Linked DNA regions of Rhinolophus ferrumequinum. The protein of the gene in region 2 interacts with the protein of the main gene of each other region in a pairwise test. Links are inferred from orthologs where the notes say so. Each region holds a gene or a part of one and is shown on either strand. Other genes may lie near its edges.

Region 1 (7,912 bases), on a different chromosome or scaffold from region 2:
GTCACCTGATCAGGGAGGGCTCCCCTAGTTAGGAGGGCCCCATCCCTTTCCCTCTTCCCTGCTTTGTTTTTCCCCATAGCGCTATCACTATCTGACATCCCAAACACCTCATGGACAATTTATTTGTCTGCCTGGCTCCCCCATGAAAATATAAACCCTGAGGAGGGTGGGCTGGCCTTTTGTCTGCTGTGCCCATGGCTGTATCTCCGATGCTTAGAACTATGACTGTCACACAGAAGATACTCAATAGACATTTCCGGAACGAATGAATAAATAAATGCATGCAGGAAGTGCCATTCTGGCATTAGTCATCAATCTTGCGCAATCTACAGGGTGCTGTCCCTCACGCCCATGCCAGCGTGAATTTGTTAGCCTGCAAAGCCTCTTCTTACCTCCATCCCTTAGGAAAACCATTTACCCTTCAAGACCAGCTCAGACTTTGTCTATATAACACCTTGAGGCAACTACCTGTCGTTGCCCACTATGTGTTCCCAGTGCACTTAATTCTGACTCTATCGTTCTCTCCACAGAGAATTACCGAGTCCCTTGTCTCTGTCAGACACAGTGTCAGGTGGTAGGGAAAACAGCAGGGAACAGTGGTTCCCTGCCCTCATGTTGCTTACGGTCTGGCAAGGGAGATAAGCTATGAACATCTAAATAGGTCAGTGCTAACAAGAAACATAAAGCAGAGTAATAAGGAGAGGGCTCTTTAGAGCAGATGGTTTAGAAAGGCCCCTCTAAGGAGGTGACATTTAAACCAAACAACAGGAAGGAGGTGAGGACCTAACTGGACTGCTGTCTGAGAACAGAGGGAACAGCAAGGGCAGAGCCTCTGAGGCTAGATGAGCTTGGCAAGAGAAGGCCCCGGGAGAACAGGGTGTGGGATATTAGGAGAGGAAGGCACACAGGTGGGCTTGGGCGTTGCAGAGAGCGTAGGGCCTTTGGGTGCAGAGTGCTGTGAGTTTTACTCACTTGAAGAACTAACATGTGCGCAACCCTCCCGAGGGCCAGGTCCTGAGCCCAGTGCTTAATTTCCCCCCTGGGACTGAACTGGTAGTTGTCCTTTCTCTCTGCACAGAGGAAGAAGGGAAGGCTCCAAGGGTCAGGTTACCATCCAAGGTCAAGTTACCATCCAAGGTCAAGAGGCGAGTGCAGGTGCAGCCCTCCCCTGCCCCACTGGGCTCCTTTGCCTTCTTTAGTTTCCACATGGATCCTGCCAGGGGGCAGGTATTTTTGTCCGTTTTCAGATGGGGACGGTGAAACTCAGCAGAAGAAGCAACTTGCAGCTAATGAGTGCCACAGCTGGGACTCTAAAGCCAGCGCATCTTAACCCTGAACCAGAGTTTCTCATAGTGTGGTCTTGGCCACCCACATCAGAACCCTGAGAGGCAGGGTGAGTAATCACAGTGCAGCTCCCTGGGCCCCATCCCAGCCTCCTGAGGTGGGGCCTGGGGCGGGGAGGAGGGGCAGGGATCCACATTTTAATGAGTGCCTCAGCTGGTTGCTGTGCTGGATTCTCCCAGTTTGCCTCTACTTCCTGTCTCCTCGCGCTAGACTGGGGGCTGCTAGAAGGCAGGGCCAGCTATGGATACACCTTTTGTCCCTGGAACCCAGCATGTATCTGGCACACAGTTTGCACTCAACACCCAGGAATTTCCAAATCTTAGTGGCAGAGTCCTTCCTTCCTCCCAAACTCAGTCACCAGGGAACACACAGCAGTGTAGGGGGAACCATTCCTAGGCAGATGGAGAAGAGGCAACTGGGCCAGGTGAGTGCAGGCAGAATCAGGGAGGGAAGCATCTCCCACCTGGTGCAGGGCGTCTGCCTTGTCTGTGTGCTTCTGCCGGCTGCGCTGGGCAGATGTCCGATTCCTCTGTTTCTTCTTCAGCTGCCTCTGATGCTCCTCTGGGTCCTGGCAGGGACTTGCGCCCTCCGTCCTGGCCTTCTGTAAAGCCGTGACATTCCTGAGTCCAGTCCCCGAAGGTCCCTTTCTCCCAGAAGCCATCTCTGGCTCCCTTGGTGTTCACACACCCCATCACAGGCACAGGACGCGTCATTGGCATGCCAGCCTCATTCGATCTCATGTTGGGGGAGGACAAGTGAGGAAGCTGGGAGCCTGGGACTCCAACTCAGAGGGACCTGACTTCACACCCAGGCTCTCCTTACCAGCTGGGTTACTCCAGGCAAGTCACTCACTACTCTGAGCCCAGCTACCTCATCCATTCAATGGAGTAACTTCCTCACAGACCATAAAGGGCCAGGGCCCAGGGCCAGCCCAGAGCCAGGGGTTAATATAATAAAGGTCAGCCGCTGATGTTCCCATCGCTATTATTTGCATGGTCAAGGTCAAGGTGTTGATTTCCCTAGCTATGAGTTCCACCTGTGAGGGCAGAGCTGGGGTCTGACTCTGCTCCAATGAGCCCAGGCCCAACTTAAGCCCAAAGCTGATAGTCACCTACTCAACAAATAGTTATTGTGCAGCTACTGTGTGCCAGGCACTGAGCTAGGAGGACACAGCAGTGAACAAAACAGGCAAAACTCCCTGCCATCAAGTTGCTCACATTCTAGTGGAGCAGCAACCTAGAATGAATGCACAAAGTCAGTTCTGATGGAAGAATGGACTCCACAGCTGTGACTCTTCCCAGACCCTGACCCCAGGTTAGGGATATAACTCAATATGCCCAGGAACTTTGGAAGGTCAGACAAGAGGGAATGTTGGAGACCCTGCAATCCCACCTCCCCTCTCCTAGGCCTCTCTGGGAAGGGCGTTGTAAAGAGCTCAGGCAAGACTCTGAGCTCCCTGGCTGAGGATGCCGTGCTCCTGGGTCCATGGCCACAGCAGGCTCATTACAGGTGCTGGGGGTGCCAGGAGACTGGAGCTTGAGGGAAAGACCAGCAGTGAGAGAAGTGGGTAGCCTCTGGTACCTGGGTCCTGGGAAAGGGGCAGGGCCTCTAAGTGGAACCATGCTGGAGAATTTGGGGAGGGAAGACAGGCTACATGAAGGGTAGTGAGGGGAGGACAGGTGGGTTAGGAGACAGCGGTATTCAGAGGTCAAGTTCTAACCTGGAGGCTGGATCTGCAAATGAGAGCTGGAAAGCCCTTTCCAATCCTTGACGAAACTGAAGGCCAGAGAGAGGGTATGTGAAGCCCATGGTCACATAGCCCATGTGCACAGAACTGGGATGAGATGCTCTGACCACCTGCTCCCCACCTGGGCCCTGGGGACTCTCAGGCACATTCCCTTTCTCCTCCCCCCGTCCCTGGTTTCCTGTACTCACCGTACCAGTTAGGAGCCCTTCACCCCCGCAGAGGTGCATGGCTTGGGCAGGGGGCAGAGGCTCACATCTGGTTCAGGGTGTCCCTCGGCTGCTGTGACCTCCCAGTGCCCTCTGGGGACCCAAGGAAGTGGCGGCTCTTTAAAACCCCGGTGACCACTCCGCCCCCAGCAAGCCAAGTTTCAGTTTCTTCTAAAGCCACCGGCTGCTCAGAATCCTTGGCTCGGGTTAGCTCACGTGGCTGGAATTTCCTAGTATGAACTAGCCTTCCGGTTGGGCCCCTTCTCTGGGAGGAGGACGGTGGGGGGTGGCCAGAGGAGGGGAGACCAAAGCCAGGTGTGAGGAGGGTGTTCTGGGGGCAGGAGGGCAGGCTGCCAGGGACAGAACCAAGAAGGAAAGGCAGTGAGGTACCAAGGGCTCATAGAAGATAAGGGAGAGCCTCTGGGTTCTGGAATATGAGGAGCCCAGGTTCATAGCCCACCCAAAACCACAGCACATTGGAGCTGTGCAGCTTTGAAAAGGTGGTTCACCCTCTCTGACCTTTAGTTTCCTCATCTGTAAAGGGTGTTGGGGGTGATACAAATATCCACTCACAGGCTTAATGTAGGAACCAAGCAAGATAACATAACACCCCAAACCCTGTGAGACCAACATCGAGTCAAAAATAAGCAATGGCTTTTACTTAGGAGAACAGATGGATCAATGACTGTGTTTCCATTCAACAGGCCACACAGCAGTAGAAAGAGTGATGTTTAGCAGTCAGGAGCACAGCTTCCAAGCTATGTGACTCGGATACGTGATTTCACCTTTCTGTGTCACTGTTTCCAAATCTGTAAAGTGGGGATAAAAACAATTTTGTCATGAAGATTAAAGGAGTAAAGGCATTATCCTCTCCTCAGCCTAGAATTGGGCATAAAAACCAGTCTCAGCTTTTGTTAGAAGACTTGACTCTGACACCTGACACTCTACTCACCAGGTCTATCTAACACCTGGAGCCTCAGTGTTCTCATATATTTGCTGGGCCGAAATCATACCTATTTTACAAAGTTGTCTTGAAGATGGAAACGAAGGGGAAGAGAAGAAAGTTCTTTGCATATTGGAAAGTAATATTTGGCTAGAATCCATTCCTGTTCCTGAGATTTGTGGGAACGTAGGATTAATGCAGGTTCGTAATTTAAAATGCCTGGGTGTGTGGGATTGGGCATGACAGCTGGGCCTGGCCCTCCTTGCTTGTGAGGGACCTGGGAGTCAGGATGAAGTAGGGGCACCCCAGGTAGTGAGGCTGCCCGATTTCTCCGAATTATTTTTGTTTCCCAGAAATCAAGAGGCCTGGGTATCTTGCCTGAGGTACCTAGGGACTCATTAAGCCTGTCCATGAGCTCTACAGGGAGCCACATGCATGATGTAACCAAGAAAAACCATCTTGAAGTGGGTGACTAGGGCCTGATTGTCCCCACCCCAGCCCCCAGCCCCAGACCTGAACCCCAGTCTTCCCCTCTCCAGACCCCGGTTTCATCAGCAAGTGTACCTGTGGCCCCTCCCAGAAGGCCTCCACCCTGGAGGAAGACCAAAGAAGGCAGTGTTTATGGCTTGATATCCCTGAGGAGTGGCAGGGAGGGATGGACATGGCGTGGGTAATGTTTAACTATGAGTGGCTGTGCAAGCCTTCCCCGCAGAGGTGGACTCCCTCCCCGGCTGGCAGAATAGGCTGCGAGGCCATCCAGTGCAACTTCTCACTGAGAAGGTGAGGATGCCAATGCCTGAGAGGCAAGATTGCCTGGCAGGAGGGGGCAGAGCTGGAGGGAGGACACGCCTCTCTCCACAAGCCCTCAGTCCTCCTCCACCCCCACCCAGTTTGGAAGGGCCTGGTTCAAAGCCTACAGCCCTGGTAAGTGAAGGCTTGGAGGCCTCCCAAAACCAGAGCTACAGAATGAGCTCCTGAGCAGCAGAACCACTACCTGTCTTACTCTCTAAAGTATCCTCGGTGCCTCAAACACTGCCTCCACATAATGGGTGCTCAACTAATGAATACATGAAGTCCAGCAGGCAGCTTGCCATCCGAGAACCCCAAAAGCTTCCTGGATGAGTAAAGAAAGCTCGGCTTTGCTCATTCCCACAGGACCTGCCCTGGGTTCTTCGGGGACTATTTCTAACGAACCCCCTCATTTTACCATTGAGGAAACTGAGGCACAGGGAGGGGACAGTCACATGGCTGGTGTGGGAGAAGTTAGGATGCCCTGATGCCCTGTCCCAATCCCTTCCCACACCTCCTGTGATTGGAGAGATGCTAGGGGTCTCCAGATGCCCAGGGAGGAGGCCCTTCTTTCTAAGTCCTCTAGCATGTGCGCCCCTCATTTGAGGCCTGGTCTCCTAAGGGCACCTCAAAGGAGCTTCAGACAATGGGTAGCAGAGAAAGAGGCCCGCTGGTTGCTGGTGAGGCTGAGGTACGAAGCTATTGACTTCCCACTTGCAACTGTGGATGGGCCGGCCTGGGAGCTAAGCCTCAGCTGGGACGGGTTTACAACCCAGCAGGGTGTGGGCCTCATGCAGGGCCCATGACCGGCAGGCAGGAGGGTAAGGGCCGCAGCGGGTACTTCATGTTGGGGAGACCAGAGAAGGCTTTCCAGAGGAGTGGGTGGGCTCAATCCCAGACCTGGAACTTGATCCTGGGCAAGTAACTTAACTTCCTTATGCCTCATCTGTAAAATGGGGATGATAATATAAGGATTTGATGAAGTAATATATGTTAGGGGTTTAGAACAGTGCCTGGCACAAAGTAACTCACACAAACCTCTGTTAAAATTTTAACAAAAGCACTCAATAAACACCTGATGAATTTTTTGTTCACATCACAATAGGCTTGTATTTTACTTCATTATTATTATTAATTTTAAGAAAAAATGGAGGAGTATAAGAACAGGGATGAGTTTTTCCTAACGAAGTATCTTTGTAATGAAAAAAAGAGAAGTTAATGATTGCATCCATGTGTAACAAGCAGCACTTAATATTTAGTGTGAATTGCTCAAAATTTCTCAATCATACAAAGGAATCTCAATAAGAGAGGGGAAACTAGGGTTCTCTGAATTCTTAGTTTTATAAACGATTTACCTGAAGTTTAATTACTAACAAGTCTAAAGTGTACCAGCTTCAGGCACGGCTGGATCATGATGCGCAAAGTCATCAGGAGCAGTGTCTCACCCTATCTGCTCTGCTTTGCGCTGGCTACATCCTCATGCAGGGACCACTCATGTAGTAAGATGGCCACCAGAAACACCAGCTTAGCTGCCCCAGGACAGGGGCGTATCCCTTGGCACTTTCTCAATACAATGGTACCTCGGTTTTCCAACGTAATCCGTTCCGGAAGACCGTTTGCGTTCTGAAACGTTTGAAAACCAAGGCGCGGTTTCCCCATAGAAAGTAATGCAAAATGGATTAATCCGTTCCAGACCTTTAAAATCAATCCCTAAAACAGCAATTTGGCGTGAATTTTACTATCTATTGATACCATAGATCCATAAACTTTACAGCATTCGTAAACCAAAATGTTTGTCAACGGAGACATTCGAAAACCGAGTGTGGGGACAGAGCCAGGAGTGCAGTTTCCAGGCCCTCGGTCTCACGTGGAAAGGTGCTGGCTCGGGTAATAGATGGCCGTCAGCTGTGGCTAGTTGGCCATCGGCTGTTACCGGTTAGACATTAGCCACTAGCCACTGATATAACTGCCGTAGCTAAGCTAGCAAGGTGTGGTGTGGTGGTGTGGCGTCCTGGCGTGGCGTGGCGTGGCGTGGCGTGGTGGAGTGTGGATTACCAATTGCAGAGAGGCGGATTGCAGCTAACAAGTGAGGTGGGTTGGCAGAGACAAGTGGACGAGGGGGTTGCGGATCGTGTGGCTCCTGCTCCTGTGTGTCCCCCAGCCGCCAGTGACACTACAGTGGTGTGACTCCCCTATCTACGGCTCGGTGGGTGTTCCTTTTTGGCCTAGCCACATCCTGCGTTCTTATGTGGGGAGCAGGACTAGAGACCCCGCCTGCCACCCTGCATGACACCGAGGTACTACTGTAGTTCCAACAAAGGGCCCAGGCCTGGCTCTCCTTGGATTGGCTTGAGTTGTGTGGCTAATTCACAGCGACAGGAGTCGCTGTGTGCAGGAGATAAAGGTGAGACAGGCAAGGCCAGGTCCCAGGCCCATCCTAGATAGGGTCAGCCTCATCTTCACCATAAGGCCCAGGGGTGATGAAAGGGTAACTCCCACAGGGTATTGGGGTGCTACTGGCAGGAAAGGGGTAACCAAGGCTGGGCTGATGTCACCAACGTGGCTCAGATTCAGGTAGGAGGAAGCTGCCACTTGGAGGTACATCCCTTGGCTGAGTCACATTCCCAGGTGGGACGAACTCAGTGCCCCGCGTGCATCTGACACCAAGCCCAGCACTCTCGCTTTGCTTCACAGGGACCTGTGGGCAGGAAAGCAAAGGCGTGCTGAGGAGGCAATTCCAAGAGAACTGAATGCTGGGCAGGGACTGTGGGCGCGGACTTTGTGGGGACTCCCCAGGGCACAGGGAGGAAAGGACTGACTCACTTCAGCATGACACCTTGCGAGTGCTCATTAAAGCTGGAATCCACAAATAGCCAGGCCTCC
Region 2 (8,349 bases):
TTCATGTTTTGTCTTGCAAATCTTTCCCACACTATCTAGATTACCATCTTTTGAGGCTGGTTCTATAATAATTACTTAAACACAGTTAATTATTTTAGAAACAAATTAAGAGACAAACATTAGAAGAATCCCAAATGGTAAACTGCTATACTGTTATACTGGTAATTTGTCTAGGCATAGTTGTTTGAGAGAGGAGAGAGAGAGAGAGAGAGAGTGAGAGAGAGAGAGAGAGAGAGAGAGAGACAATGAACTGCTTCATCCAGATTGCAACTTCTGTGTTGACCCTTCTTAAATTCTCTGCTTAATTACCAAGTAACTTCAGTGGCAGTAATGTCAACCCCAGCAACTGAAAAGAAAAGCTTCAATATAGAGCTCGGGAAGAAAAAAGTAGTAAAGGGAAAGGAATTCAAGATGTTATTGGTATTTGAATACCTTTATTGTGACAAGAATGCTGTTATAAATATTCATAAGCAAAGACCATCTTTTTAAACCTAGGAATTGTTCAAGTGAAGATTCCAAATGGGAAGGGTACATCTTTTGTAAAAATCTGCCACTATTCTTACTTTGAAAATAAGCATCTATTGTGAAATTTCTGCTAATGTTATAAATGGTCACAGCACATGCCACTTGCTCTAATCCAAACTTTAAAGTGTTGGACTTCCCAGTGGGCAATCCCTCTTCACCACAACCCTCCTTCCCTCAGCCTCCTCAAGGTCCACACTACCCTTTGTAAGCAACTCTATATAGATAATGAGGGAGGGAAGTGTATAACTTGGTGAGAGCATCAGCTCCAGTTATTTCTCATGCCCAGTAGAGAATAGTTTTTACTGCTTGATAGTAAGCAGCCCTGAGAGTGATTTCAATGGACACTCTTAACTCTTTCCACTCCATCCAGATAGGTAATCTATAGATAATGCAGAAAAGAGGTTGGGGGAGGGGTACTTTTTCAATATTTTATTTTCTTAAATATCCTTTCTGGAATTTTCAGAAACAAAACATAAAAAAATTATATACTTTATTACAAATGGTAAACTCAGAGTGCTCCAAATCTCTTATTTACAAATAACACTGGGCAGGACACCCAAACAAACAAACATGAAATAACTTACAAAGGCATGAAGCTGTTTATTGACAATAATCAGCTTTCATCAAATTAAAAAAAAATATATATGTACATACACAGTTAAGGAAGGCAGGCCAGAAAGTTCATCTGTCGGCTCAGCCTCGCTCTCACAAACCTCCCTCCCGCCACCCCTCCCCTAACCCCTCCCCCCTTTGTATTCTTAAGGAGTACTACAGAAGCAATCTACAGTCTCTATTGCAGTTTGTAACCCCTCCCCCTCCCCCCTTGTAATACTGAATGAGATCGAATGTTAGGTCCATGCAGTTCTTGGTCAATGTTAAAGTAAAGTCTAACGTTCTGTTTGCGCTGGGACAGCCCGTCCATAAAGCGGGGCAGCCCGCAGGCGGCCGTTCCCTGGCTACACGCCAAGGGAGGGCGCGCCAAGTCCTTCCCACTCGTGCACACTGGGGGCGCCGTCAGGACGCAACCCAGTCCAACTTGGATACCCTTGGCTTTAGTCCTCCGACACTTCTTTTTTCTCTCTCTCACAACTTGTCAAGTTCTCAAGTCTGTCTCTCTCTCATTTTTTTTTTCTCCGTTGCCCCTCAGCCCCCGACAGTCTCTCCTCAAAACGTTTGCAACTGCTGTGTTAGCATGAGTTGGCACCCACTGTTAACGTGGTTCATGACTTTCTGTTTAAGCTGTGCCACCTGTTCCCTGAGCATATTGGCCGTGGACGCCAGCTCTGAGTTCTGCGCTTTCAAGGTTTTCACTTTTTCCTCCAGCCGGGCGATCCTCTCCAGCTTCCTTTTCCGGCACTTGGAGGCAGCGATGCGGTTCCTCATGCGCTTTCTCTCCGCCTTGATTCGCTCCTGGGACTCCATGTCGATGGGTGACAGGGGAGGCGTTTCCCCGGGCATCTCGGGCACCGTCTGCGGCTCCTCCTTCAGGGCCTGCAGCCGCGGGTGCTGCACGGGGATCTGCTGGGGCAGGTGGTGCGGCGGCTGTGGTGGCTGCTGCTGCTGCTGGGGCTGCGCGGGAAAGGCCAGGCCGGCCGCGCCGTAGGAGGGCGCCCCGCCGCCGCTACTCAGCGCGCCCGGGTTGAAGTTGCTGAGGTTGGCGTAGACCGGCGGCTCGTTATGGAGGCTGGCGCTGAAGCCGCTGCTGCCGCTGCCGCCCGCCACGGACGCCACCGCGGGAGCCACCATGCCCGCCCCGCTGACAGGCTGCGCCGCGGACGTGACGCTGGGCAGTGTGTTCTGGCTGTGCAGTTCGGCCAGGGCGCGCACGAAGCCCTCCGCGAAGCCCTCCTGCTCGTCCGTCACGTTCTTGGGGCACAGGAACTGGGTGGGGGTCGGCGTGGTGGTGATGTGCCCATTGCTGGACTGGATTATCAGGCGCTCCAGCTCCGGCGACGCCAGTTTGAGCAGCCCCACGTCCGGCGAGGTGAGGAGGTCCGAGTTCTTGGCCCGGAGGTGCGGCTTCAGGCTGCCCACCGGGTCGGCCAGGTTCAGGGTCATGCTCTGTTTGAGGATCTTGGGGTTACTGTAACCGTAGGCGCCGCTCTCGGACTGGAGGAACGAGGCGTTGAGGGCATCGTCATAGAAGGTCGTTTCCATCTTTGCAGTCATAGAACAGTCCGTCACTTCACGTGGGGTTAGTTTGGGCTGCGCGCAGAAGTTTCGGGGCCGCAACAGCTCGCTGGCAAGCGGGGGACACCCGCGCCTGCCCGGCCTTCAGCAAGGAAAGTTTATCTAATAGCGCGCGCACCCGCTAGCTGTCCTCCCCCTTGCGCCCTCCTCACCAGCGCGCTCCAGGGAACGCAGGGTTAAGACGCCGCCCGCACTCTTACTTGTCGGCTCTCGCGCGCTGCCGGCTTTAAAAAGTCGCGGTCACTCACTGAGCGCTCCTCTGCGCAGCGGCTCCTCGGAGCCCGCGGACTCACTCGCTTCCCGGCGACAGCCGCTCTCCTGGCGGCGGCACTCAGCGCGGACCCCGCAGTGGCCGGTCAGCGGCGGGTCTCCGCCGCCCGGACTCCTACGACTGTCCCCTCCTCCGCTGCGAGGGGGAGGGGGCGCCCGGCGGCCGAGGCTCGCGCTCGCCCAAGTTCAGCAACCGGTGCGAGCGCACGTCCCTCCTCGCTCTCCTCTCTCCGTCGCTTTTTCTTTACCGCCGCCGCGGCAGCTTGGAGCGGAGGAAAGCTTTGCAAAAGTTCGGTCCGGGACTCAGGGGCTACTTGTCCCTTGTCCTCGGGGCCAGGAAAGTTCTTTGCCGCTACAGCGGCTCGCCAGACTTCTCCAGGGGACAGTCGCCGCCCTCCGCGCTGTCAGCGGCGCCCGGGCAGTGGGGTTCTCCTCTTGGGTCGGCTGGAGAGGGGGCTCTTCGGACGCTCTCCCAAAACACCAGCCCGGGAACCACAGGCGCTAGCTCTGGGCACTTGGTGAGAAAATGGAAAAGAAAATCAGATTTGCAGTTCGGACTCTACTGCTGTCCTGTCTCCCTGAGTCCGCGCGCCTCCACTCCCGCCTCGCTGATACAGCCACACTCAGTGCAACTCTGAGCCCTTATCCAGCCCGAGCTCAACACTTATCTGCTACCAGTCAACCCCTAAAAATAGCCCATGATGTCACCCCAAGGCCTTCCCATTGGCTTGCGTCGCTCTCAAGGGGGCGGGCCCGCCCGTCGCCATGGAGACCCCACCCTAGAAGATTCTTCTCCGGACCCGCGGAGGCTCACGGGATGAGGTAATGCTCTGTTGCCCTCCTACAGTTGGGCCCTTCTTTCTCCTCCTCCCCCGCCCCCTCCCGCGCGCCTCGCGCCCCTCTCTTCTCCCTCCCCGGCGCGTCTTTCCCGGCCCGCCCGGTGCATTGTGGGCTGACGTCTTGGGGCTTGACTGTCTAGTGACGGTGGCCACTGCGAGCCCGGCCGACGCGGGCGCTCGCATCTTCTGATGGAAGCGGGCACAAGTTCGGGTCTCGGGGCGGAATGCAGAAGACGCGGGGACTCGGAGGGCTGGGGAACCTGGCCGGGTGTCTGGGGCCGAGGGTGCGAGACGGGTGGTATTTCCCCACTTCGTGGGTGCTGGATAGCATCCACCGGCGTTTCGCCGCCTCGCGGGGCCGGGAGGTCTACAGCTCGGGTTTTTCCCTCCCCCGCACTTCCGGGGGGCGGGAGCACCGCCCTTAAGGTGGCTCTGTTAAGTCCCCCGTGGGGGCAAGTGAAAGTGGGCTTAAGTTTAGGGGCAGTCTCCGAGAGTCAGCCCCCCCACGTTGAGTACGCTCGGAAGTTTGTCTCCTGGTCAAGTTCACCAGCGACCGTCCGCCGGGCTGTCTGGCTGCGCCTAGAAGCCGAGTGATTTGCATTGCTCGAGACTGGTGATCAGCTAATTCCTCAGGGCACCCCCACTTCACCCTCCCGACGATGGGAGAAAGGGTGCGAGGTCATAGCTTCGTCTCGGAGGGGAGGGTTTTTGTATTTTTTTTTTAATAAGGGGTGCAATTAGGGGGCAACTCAGTCCAGTTGAGAACAAGCGTTTAGGGAATCCGAAACTCGGGGAACCCCGGCGATCGTCTACTCTCTGCCCCCGTACAAGAACTCGCACACCACACATCACACGAATACACACACACGCACAGACATTCACACTCCTCCCGCCGTGATTTGCTTCCGGGGAAACAAGTCCGAGAGGACACTCGCCAAAAGTCACGCAGCGAGGAGTCGGATAGAAGCAGGATTTAAAATCTCACGGCTCTGGCCCGGGAGCTGGGCCTATATCCTGTGTAGCCTCTAGGAAGCGCTAGACACATGTAAGTGGTTCCTTTTTTTTTTTTTTTTTTTTTTTTTTTTTGGTGGCTCTTGTTATCTCCCCCCACCCCCATCCCCCTTAGGGACAAAAGTGTGTGGTGGAAAGAACACCGAAGTCGGGAATCGTGGGTTCTGTCGTGGCCAACGCTGCCATGGTGTGAAGTGAGCAAGTCACCGAACTTCTATGAGCTTTTCAGTTCCTTTATCTGCGGCGGGGGTGCGGGAGGCTGGGGGGCGGGGCGGTGAAAACCACCTCACTGGGCAGAGTTAGGGTAGTATCATCACCTTCAGGGCTAGGAAGTAGTCACCAAACAGCCTCCTTCCCCGAGTTTCCCAGAGCCTCCCTGGAATGCCAGGATGTAAGAGTGTGACTTGACAGGAACAGGTGTAAAAACTCCTGTGAGGAGCATCGAAGGAAGGGGAGTGAGGGAGGAAAGGGTCGAAGGCAGCCCTTTCCTGGGCCTTTTGCCCGTGACTGAGGCTTGAAGTTGGACCTGCAGCAGTTTAGGTCCCTAGGTTCTAATTCGGGCTTCTCAACTTCAGAACTTCGGGGAATTCAGCTTACGCGTTTAGAGCCCAGAGTCTGATGGTCTTTTTGGCTTTGAGGGTTAAAATTCAACAGCCCAACAGTAGCTAGTGGCAGGGAAATCTTGACAACTTTTCTTTACTCCAGGCACTCACCTCTCATTCAGTCATGCAGCAGAGGAAAACTGAGTGGCTACTGTGAGGCAGGCACTGAGCTGGGGTGGGGGGTAGGGGTGGGGTTAGAATACAGTGATGACAAGATCCAGTTACTTTCCTCAGGGAGGGAGTATTCTCTATACTGTTACCCTAAATCATTTTCGTCTGTAATCAAGGAGCTGGTGTTCTTAATTTTTATGAGAGTAATAAAAATAAATTTCATGTATTAAATGCCTATTATCAGCCAGGCATTTGCCAGAGCAATTTAAATATGCTGTTTCTCCCCACAACTATCTAGAGCTATGTTTATTATTAACCAGATTTAACATATGAGGGACTAGGCCCAGAGAGGTTAAGTATCTTGCTCAGGTCACACAGGCAGCTGGAAATTGACCTCAGGTCTGTGTTACATTCCCTCGTATCTTCTCTGCTCTGGGAGATTTTCTTGTAACATATTGTCTGCAGCGGAAATGGCACTTCGATGGTGGGACAGAAGAAATTGCCTTGCCTGCGCCGCTGTAACTCCTTTCAGAGCTTCCTTTCAGAGCTCCTGTATTTAGAAAATTCAAGATTAGGACTTTGTATAAATATATATATCTTTGCCTAAGGGTTCTGTGTGTTCCTCTCTGCCTTATGTGGTTTAGTAGGCTGATTTTCTCCTTATGTTGAGAAGTAGCATATTTCATCCAAAAAATAACAGATCTGTTTAAAAGTTAACGCCCCTGCTTGGAAGCCTTCACTGCCGTCCCCTTACAACCAGGAGAGAGTTTAGACACCTTTGCCTGGGAGAAGGAGCTTTTCACAGTCTAGCTCCTGCTCTCAGGCCTCACCTCTCTCTCCCTGTACCAGTTAGGAAAGGCTGGGCTATGCTGCCCTCACACACGACCCTAATGTCTCAGTGTCTTATCCCACGGAAGTTTATTTCTTGCTGATGCTACATGCCCACTGTGGGTCTATGGGGGAGTTCTGTTCACGGTGGTCACTCAAGGACTCCAGTTGAAGAGGGCTTCATCTCGACACCTGCGTATTACTATTACCTTGGCTGCGGGGAGAGACGGCGGGAAATCATTGACTGGCTCTCAGAGCATCCACCTGGAAGTGACACACAGTACTTCTGTATCATTAGCCAAAGCAAGTCCCGTGGCCATGCCTAACTTGAAATCTCTGTAATCCTACCAAGTATCTTGAACCAAGAGAGCTAGGAAGATTTGGGGAACCACACTAATGACTCGAGCAGTCTCCCTTTCGGTTCCCCAACTGTTTGGCTTAGTGTCCTCTCACAGGCAGAGTTCCCTCATCCTTTCCTCAAGGGAGACAACGCTAAAGACCCATCTAGTCACAGTCTATCAAGCTTCCTTTCCAGGTTCTGAGTGATGCGTAGTAGACATTATATCAGCTCCAGATAGGACTTATCAACTAAAAGCAAGGTGTCTACCCTGCACACCTTCAATATGTAATGGTGGGACTGAGGCAGGATACACTGCCGTGCATACATCACGTGGAAGTGGAGGGATGGGAGACCACAGTAGACACTAATCCACTGAGGACCCCCTACCCATCACCCCAGTTAGGCCCTGATTCTGCTCCCCGAGTGTAGCTGCCCCGTCCATTCTTTCCCATGACCCCTGGCTTTGCCCTCTGAGAGAGTCTTCCTCTTCTATATCTAAAGCAGGCATTGGGAAATATATTTCTAAATAAGCTTTCAAAAATTGGCGGGGGGAGGGTACAGAGTCATGTTAAGTCTCAAATACAGTCTCCTTTAATCCAGGCTGATGTTCTTTTGGCAGTACAACTCTCACATAAATGTAGGCTTCTTATCTGTTTGATTCTAGCCATTCCATGTACCAATAGCCAGAGCCAATTCTTTTCTAGACATAGTCCTGTGGTTTGCCACATTTCTTAGCTTTCTCGTTCTCCTGCCTGCTAATACCTCTCTCTCTCTCTCTCTTTCTCTCTCTCTGTCTCTCTCAATCTCTCAATCTCTCATATTCATTCCCCTGCTCCCCAGCTTGGTTTTGAGTACTTTGGGTTTATTGAGCTTTGGTGTGAGAGTCACACTTTTCCTTTCTTTTCTAGAGCCATTTTGTTTAATTGAAAACATAGCTCGGTAACACCTTTATTTGTCAAGAGGTTTGAACAATAAATAAGCTTGAGGCCATACCTTGACTTGATCCATACTTCAAGGCTAATTTTAACTTGCCTTTTCTTGCTGAAAACATTTTTTAGTTATATATTTTACTAGTTGAGACTGAGAAACAACTTAGCCTCTTCTAACCCTACAAATCTCTGAATTTCTAGATTGTCCCTACTCTCTTTCATTCTTGTTGGCAAACCGGCCAAGTCTTCTCTGAGCTCATCTCTTTTTTTTTTTATAATAAGTTTCCAAATGCATCCAACAGCCACCAACACGTTCTACTAACATTTTGTTTTAGTCTCTCACTTTAAGTTGATTAGGTTCATGACACGCCTTCTAAATTGTCACAGGTGATATATTCACCAAATAGATCACTGTCCTTTTAGCTTCTGATAACAGTGCTCTTAGTTACTGCCCTCTAAATGGATGTTTACTTTTACTGTTGCCATTACATTACCCCACATCTAGGTGCCAATTCTTACATCAGTCAGGATAGACTAGGTTTGCCACCATTAACAAACAATCCTAAAATCTTAGTGGCTTAACAAAAATCTTTATTTCTTGTTTGTAGTACATGTTCAAAGTCAAAGGGGCTTTGCTTCATGTACTCACTCAGAAACTGAGTCTGCAGAAGGTTTCATCTTGATATATGCTTCCACAGTCATTC
Region 3 (7,458 bases), on a different chromosome or scaffold from region 2:
TATGATCCGATTAAGGTTTACCTCTAGCGGCCAGGTGGAGAATACCCCAAACCACCAGGAAGTCACAGCACAGCCTAACCCTGGTGGAGGTGGAGCATGACGGGGCGCTGGACAAACTCTGGAGGTAGTGACAGAACTTGCCCATGCCTTGAATGTGTGTGTGTGGGAGAGCAGGGGCAGGGAAAGAGAGACCTATCTGGGGTTAGTGACCAGGAAGTGGGGAAAATGAATAGCTTTGGAATATTAAACACGTATCTTGGGAGTTTTGTCTTACTTACGTATGTACATTATGGAACTTGTTCGTTTATTTTGCATTTATATTCTGGTAGGAGTACAGATTGATTTCAGAAAACGACCTAAGTGAGAGGAAATCAACACCCTGCAGGCTCACAGTGCCAGACCGCCACTAACACCTGGGGCAGGACCCACCCAGACCAGTTTCTATACGGATGTACCCAAGACCCCCCCCATTCAGAGATTCGTTAGGACTCACTGGACTCACACGCCAAGATTTATTACAGCAACATAGGCGACAGCTGCCCCTGGGGAGGAGACACCCACGCCTTGCGCCCCACTCCACAGGAGCCTGGGCCCCCCTCACTGTAGGGTGGGTGTACCGCACCCCCAAAGGGGGGGCGCTGGGAGGAGGCCCTGCAGTCACCGCCTCCTGCTCTCAGCCACTTCACCCTCCAGCTCCACAAGGGACTAATGTAGTCCACAGAGCACATTGAAAAGGGGACTCGCACGTGAGATAAACTGTTACCCACCACGTAATAAATAGTTATAAAAAGTCACCGCCAGGGCAGATTGCCCACGGCGGCAGGCAGCAAGCTGTGTCAGAACCGGGCCAAGATGAAAGAGGGTTTCCAGAGGCTGCCTCCTGGGTGAAGTCCAGGGGCCAAGGGGTATCATGTCAGAAACTGGCTGCTCACATGTGGTGCTTGGCCGGCAGGCCAGGCACCAGGTCAGACGTCAGAGGTCAGAGGTTGGGGGCCAGGCTTTCTCCACATCGGCGTGCATGGCCTCGGGGAGCCACTCGCAGTACTCAGCCAGTAGGTCTGCAGGGGCAGAAGACAGCGTCAGAATGGCTCTGTGCCCAGCTGCCCTGCCAACCCTGGGTTGCCTGGGCAGACCCCGTCCCATCCGCTCCCAAGCCCTGGTTAAGGGGCACCTGCCCGTCAAACTCACATTTGGGGCTTTTCCTCCAAGCAGCCAGCAAGGCGTCTCGGCAGTCGGCCTTCTCGGCCACAAGGGCCCTCAGGAGACTCTCTGTCCTGGGCTGCAGCCTGTGGGAAGGGATGGAGGGCATTATGCCACCCACAGGGCTGCCCGCTGTGGGAGGGGGCAGGCAGCCCTGCCTTGGTGGGTAAAGGATCCCTGTTCCTCCACCATGCTGGGTGCCGTGGCTCGATGGAAGGCTCTAGACGTCACCACCTCCTACCTGCCTCTGGTCCGCCCGCCCTGGCCTTTCTTCTACTCCTTGAGCACTCCCCCACCCATGCTGCTCGTCCCATCTAGAACCTTCCTCCAGATTTCCACCTGGCTCACAGCGGCCTCCTCCGAATCTGCCCAGTCAGGCTCTCCTGACCAACCCCCCCAGGCCCCACACCTCATCGCTAACGTCCTGCTCTGTAGCCGCGTCACCACCCGCCATGTGTACTAGCTGTGTTGTTTGGTGTCAGTCTCCCTGCACCGGACGTCCCCACAGGGACAGGGTCCTGCCTGTATCCCAGCAGAGAGGGTGATCAAAACCAGCTGCTGGGTGAACAGTTGGCTGGCAGCAGCCTGGCAGGGGGCGCCTGGCCCCACACCCTCCTCCTGAGTCCCTGGAGTGAGGGAGTGAGAGGGTGGACTTGCACCCATCTGCTTCCAAGACCCCTCCCGTGCACCTTCCAGACGCCAGCCTCAGGGAGGGGGAGGCGTCCACTTGGAGCTGGCCAAGGTGGAAAGAGAACAAAAAGGGAGGAGCAGGGACAGGCAGGGCAGAGGAGGATGGTGGTGATGGGCGGGACTGGGTGGGCCTGTGCGCAGCTGGCAGGAAGCCCCTAGGGACGCAAGCATGTAGAACACCTCCTCCTGGCACCTGGCAGCTGTGTAGTGGGTTGACCAATGTCTCCCCAAAAGTCCACATCCACCCAGAACCTCAGAATGTGACCTTATTTGAAAAGAGGGGCTTTGGAGATGCAATTCAGATGAAGTCATACTGAAGTGGGGTCGGCCCTGAACCCATGATGTGCTTACAAGAGAGGACATGAGGGGACAGCCATGTAAAGACAGTGGCAGGGATCAAAGTGATGTGGCCACAAGCCAAGGAATGTCTGCAGCCACCAGGAGCTGGGGGAGGAGGGAAGGAGCCTCCCCTAGAGCCCCCAACCCTGCTGACACCTGGATTTTAGACTTCTGGCCTCCAGAACTGAGAATACATTTGTTGTTCTAAGCCAGTCAGTTGGTGGTGACTGGTTATGGTGGTCCAGGACACCAATCCCAGCTCCTGCCGCCACCCCCCGCCACCCTGGTGCTGCCGGGAAAGGCTGTACCTGGCCCACGTCTTCAGCATCGTGCTGGGGCTGGACAGCAAACAGCCCTGGTATGAGGCCAGCTTGGGGAAGACCTGAGGAGAGCGCACAGGGCAGGGTGAGGGGTCACCTGGCTCACCTCCCGCCCACAGCACCCAGGACGGGGCGGGGAATCACCGGGCTCCCTACCTGCCCTTCCAGCAGAAAGCGGGCAAAGTGCTTGTAGCAGTCGAGGCCCTCCGGGAAATCCACCTGGACCGCGGGCAGTGGCCAGCCGACGCGATCTGGACGGCAGCAGCCAGTAAGCGAGGGACCGTGAGGGACCCCCACATCCTCCCCAGAACCAGCCGGAGCCGGGGGCCTGTGGTGACACCACCTGAGACACACACACACACACACACACACTTCCCAGTGTAGGGTGTGGGACCGTGTCCACGGGAGCCCAAGGCCACCAGGAAGCTGCCCCAACTCACAGAACACGCTGGCCCGGTGACACAACACCCGCCCCTTCTCGGGGCAGTAGGCAGGGGGCGGCTCCTCCAGGGGCTTTTCGAACTGGCAGTAAGCAGGCAGCAGGGCTGGGATCCACTGGGCCTCCACGGTGCAGACACCTGGGGGCCCAGGAGAGAGGGCTGAGGATGACAGTGACCAAGCTGTCTGGGAGGGGCTGTGTCCTCCCCACCAAGGGCCCTGGCGTCACAGCTCCCCAGAGCCCGTGAGCAGGGCGAGGGGCCGGCCACCGGCTTTGCTACCTTTCATGTACAGCTTGGTGGTCTCCACAATTTCCTGGTAGACCACAAAGTCGGGCAGCTCTTTGAAAAGGACGGAACTGGGGTGGATGTAGACAGGGTCATCGAGGAGGGGGGTCTGCAAAGAGAGGGTGAGTGGTGTGTGTCGCAGACACAAGCACAGGTGCAGGAACCCATGTGAATTCAGCTGCACGTGCGGCTGGGAAAGCGGAAGAGCATTCTGCCAGGTGACGAGCGGCGTGTCCGTACCGGGGACCAGTATTCAGCTGAGCGAAGACGCCGACACAGGTACTGACACGTGCCTCACTCACCACCATGCTGACTGAGAGAAGCAGGACAAAAAAAGGCCACAGTGTATGCTTCCACTGACACGAAATATATGGAATCAGCAAAGCCGTAGAGACAAAAAGGCAATTCACGGAGTGGGGGGTGGGGGGTTAGGAGAAAATGGAGAGACTGATAATGGGGACGGGGTTTCTTTTTGGGGCGATGAAAATATTCCAGAATTGATCGTGGTGATGGTTATACAACTCTGTGAATATGCTAAAAACCACTGAATTGTACACTTTAAAATGGTGAATTGTCCACTTTGTGATTCCTCTCTCCATTAAGCAGTTATGAAAATAGACTTGGGGTGAAGCTAATCCCCAAAGGAAGTGTGACTCCTGTACACCCCATCCTGTTCCTTGGTGGGGACTTTCCCAGAGGCTGCAGTGACAGGACCGAGGACAGGTCCCCGCAAGGGTCCCCTGGCTGCTCTAGGTGTCCCGACAATGCCCAGAGGCAGGCATCACAAGTGCCCAGGCTGGCAGGACTCGAGACAGATGGAGGGTGGGGTGGAGAGGGGAGCCCGGGCATAACGCCTGCCACGCTGCCTGCTCCCGAGCTGGAATCTGACCTTATACGCATTCTTCCACTTGTCGTCCAGCAGGTCCTCGCTCTGGACCCTGCGGGCCAGGTGGTCGCCCAGGCCGGCCGTCACGATCTGCCGCAGGTAGGTCACCTGGCTCTCGGAAGGAGGTTGCATCTTGGGGTCCACAAAGAGCCCAGCCTCAGGGCACACAGAATTGACTGGGGGAAAAGCCAGGTGTGAGGACAGCAGTGGACAATGGTGGGACCTGCGGTCTCGGGCTGACCTTCTGGGAAGCCCCGACACCACTCAATGCTGAGCTCTGGCCTCAGCACCTGTTCCTCTCAGCCCATTTCCACCGAGGCTGCTGGGTGGGCGGGAGACAAAGCCCTCAGCGGGGCAGAACCAGCTGCCCACGCCATAGCCACGCCCTCTTCTTCCTTAGGACAAAACCCCAATATTCCTCTGTGGGTGGCAGAGTGAGCTGCCAAGAAGCCACCCCCTCAGATGCCAGGGTGGCGCCGGGACTCGGTCCTGCCCCTGATATGACGATGGAGTTGCCGGCTGGAATTTTTGGAACGCTCCTCTGGCCCCTTCCTCCTGCCTGGAAAGCAGGTGTGATTAGATCTCCCAGTGTCTTCTCGGTCCCTGAGGTGGCCTCGAGGATGGAAGCCACGTGCAAGGCTGGCAAGACAGCAGCCCAGAAATGTGTGGGCCTCTGGAGACCCCGTGAAGCCAGGGTCAGACCCTACGTGGGATCAGGGAACCCAAGGGTGAAACTGGGGATGCCCAGGGGCAGCTGGTCCAGATCAGAGCCAGGGACAGAGGGTGACGCGAGGGACCGCACTGGAAAGGATGAGGCCGAGGTGTGCGCGCCTGCTCACTGGCGGGTCCTCAAAGGACCGCAGAGGCGCCAAGTACTGACTTAGGGTTACGATCAGTCTCAGCGAGGTGAATGTGTACACGTGGGACCTGTGATAACTGGGGAATGACTGTGCACAGATAACGTCGATGAGAAGAGCTTTAAACATTAGTCCCGTTTGTGCTGGGGGCCGCCTGTGGCAGGAGTCCTGGGGAGCCCCAGAGGCGGGTGTGTGGGCCGTACCTGCGGTGGTCAGCTGGCCCCGCAGGCGTCGAATCTCCATCATAGCCTTGTACCGCAGGCCGCTGACCTCGCAGAACTGAGGCGAGCAGCCCGCGTACTCGCAGGCCCCCACGGCACCTGTGGACGAGGACGCACTCACTGACTGTCCCCCAGGTCCCACGGGCCCGCCCCCCTTGGCTGGGGCACACACCCAGCAGCACCATGAGGTCTCCGAGTTTCAGGGAAGCGCCTCGTCCTGCCCAGGTCCTCTTCATCAGGGCCACCCGGGCACGTCTGCCCTTCAGCGTGGCCCGCTCCTCGTCGCTGGACGCTGGTCTGCAAACACATACACCACCTGACTGTCGTCCTGGCTGAGGGCCACAGGGGCAGGAGGCGCACAGGTTCAGGGACAGAGACCATCCATGCCCGGTGGGGTCGCTAACATGATCAAGGTCTTCAGCTCTGGCTCAAAATTTACCCTAAAATTCACCTCCGGTAGCCAACAAGATAAAAAATGTGAATGCCTCCTACCCACGATTTCACATTTAGAGATCAATGTAAAGACACAATCCTACAAATGAGTAACATTGCACAATGCCGTGCAGCTTACAAATAGTAATAAAAAAAAAAAAACCCTGAAAAATGCTGAAATATACACCAAGTATGGACTGGATAAACGAATTTTCCCCTGGTTCCCAAACCTGAAAGTAATGACACTCAGGCAGGTGTCAGGTATACTTTGAAGTCCCTTATGTTAACTAACGTAACCCTAACAACAACTCAGTTATTAATAACATCTCATCCCCATTTCCCAGATGGGGAAGATGAGGCACAGAGAGGTGAAGTCACCTTCCCAAGGCCACACAGCTGGGGAGTAGCAGAGGGAGATTTGAACCCAGGCAGTCTGGCCCAGAGCCTGGGCTCTTAGCCATCATGCTACAGAGCCTTGTATCAGCTTTGCGCGAGGAATTTCCTTAGAACACGTTCTGTAGCGACCAGAACACTGGAGCTCTGGAGAATGAGGGTCTTGCACAAGACCACCCAGTGATCCAGTTATTCCCTCAGAGGCCGGGCTCCAGGCCCTCTCTCAGCCCAGCGCACCCCGTCAGCCTGAGCATGAGGCCGGAACGCACAGCCCCCCGCCCCCACCTGTCCAGTTCCACGAACAGCTCCCGCACGGTCATGGCGGCCACAATGGTGATGGCGTAGGGCAGGCAGCCGTGTTGTCTGCTCAGTGCCAGCATCTTGGCATAGCGGGGCGCCACGGGGAACGTGGCCATGGTCCTGCCCAGCGCGGTGATGGGGCAGCTCAGCCGGGACCTCTGCAGCTGCTTCATCCTGGAGGACAGAGGAGGCTTTAGCGCCAGAGCTAAGAGGCCCCGGTGCTCAGGGCAGCTCAGGAGAGGGGAGAGGGCCAAGAACGGGGCGGGAACTGGGCTCCCCCCACCAGCCCCTGCCCTACCTTTCTGTTTTCTGGGGCACCTGCAGGGCACCCAGCGAGATCAACAGCTCCTCGGCAGCAATGAGGGCCTCCACAGAGGGAGGAGTTGGAAAGGGGAAGTTGATGACCTGGGACACAGGAAAATGCGCAGGTGACAGAACTGAAGGCACAGAAGTGGGCACGGTCACTGCAAGGGGGAGCCGGGCCAGGCCTGGCCACTCAGAAAGGGCCCCGGGCAGCCTCCAAGTCCAGGGGCCAAGGGAACCCCGAAGGCCTGTTTCCTTCATGTGGTCACATCAGCCACTCGCTCCGAAGCAGGTCTGAGCCCCTAATGTGCGCGGGGGCTGTTCTTGGCAAAGGAGATTGAGAAAAGCAAGACCAGGGCTCTGCCTCCACTGAGCTTTCATTCAACCAGAAGGGGCCGTAGACGGGAGCAAACACATAAGGAAGAGTAAACGTGCCCCGACAATAAAAGGTGACAGGACAGGGAGTGGGGCTCAGGGGTGGTGGCACCTTAGAAAGAGGGACCAATCAAAAACGAGTGTTCTAATCAATCCTTGTGCACTCATGTTCACAGCTGCCAAAACGTGGAAACAACCCAGTGTCCAGCAGTGGGCGAACGGATACACAGAATCCGGTTCATGCGTACAGCACACTGGATGTGATCTGGCCATAGAAGGAATGAAGCACCCACACGAGCTACAGCGTGGATGACCCGTACAACATCACGCTGAGTGGCAGAAGCCAGACACAAAAGGACGAATTCCGTATGACTCCATTTCTATGGAATGTCCGAAATGGACAAATCCGGAGACAGA

What was found.
Region 1: the proteins of JUN (region 2) and BATF2 interact in binary tests that used the Homo sapiens proteins (3 or more experiments, as listed by UniProt). The link is inferred for Rhinolophus ferrumequinum from reciprocal best matches to the Homo sapiens genes JUN and BATF2.
Region 3: the proteins of JUN (region 2) and UBC interact in a two-hybrid assay, tested with the Homo sapiens proteins (2 studies listed by BioGRID and IntAct, with this or other methods). The link is inferred for Rhinolophus ferrumequinum from reciprocal best matches to the Homo sapiens genes JUN and UBC.

Annotation. Positions count from the first base shown.
Region 1 is NC_046294.1:6,592,159-6,600,070, reverse strand, and holds the start of BATF2 (basic leucine zipper transcriptional factor ATF-like 2), read right to left. Parts: upstream 3,503-7,912; 5' UTR 3,319-3,502; coding exon 3,280-3,318; intron 1,946-3,279; coding exon 1,808-1,945; intron 1-1,807.
Region 2 is NC_046292.1:42,541,095-42,549,443, forward strand, and holds JUN (transcription factor Jun), read right to left. Parts: upstream 3,621-8,349; 5' UTR 2,695-3,620; coding exon 1,690-2,694; 3' UTR 1,102-1,689; downstream 1-1,101. UniProt on the Homo sapiens protein: Transcription factor that recognizes and binds to the AP-1 consensus motif 5'-TGA[GC]TCA-3'.
Region 3 is NC_046308.1:3,432,241-3,439,698, reverse strand, and holds the start of UBC (polyubiquitin-C), read right to left. Parts: upstream 3,503-7,458; 5' UTR 3,498-3,502; intron 3,384-3,497; coding exon of another isoform or gene 3,269-3,383; intron 3,128-3,268; coding exon of another isoform or gene 2,990-3,127; intron 2,801-2,989; coding exon of another isoform or gene 2,706-2,800; intron 2,612-2,705; coding exon of another isoform or gene 2,538-2,611; intron 1,287-2,537; coding exon of another isoform or gene 1,189-1,286; intron 1,059-1,188; coding exon of another isoform or gene 973-1,058; exon of another isoform or gene 477-972; intron 1-476. Other genes in the region: probable ATP-dependent RNA helicase DHX37, read right to left, coding at 973-1,058, 1,189-1,286, 2,538-2,611, 2,706-2,800, 2,990-3,127, 3,269-3,383, 4,164-4,336, 5,221-5,337 and 3 more.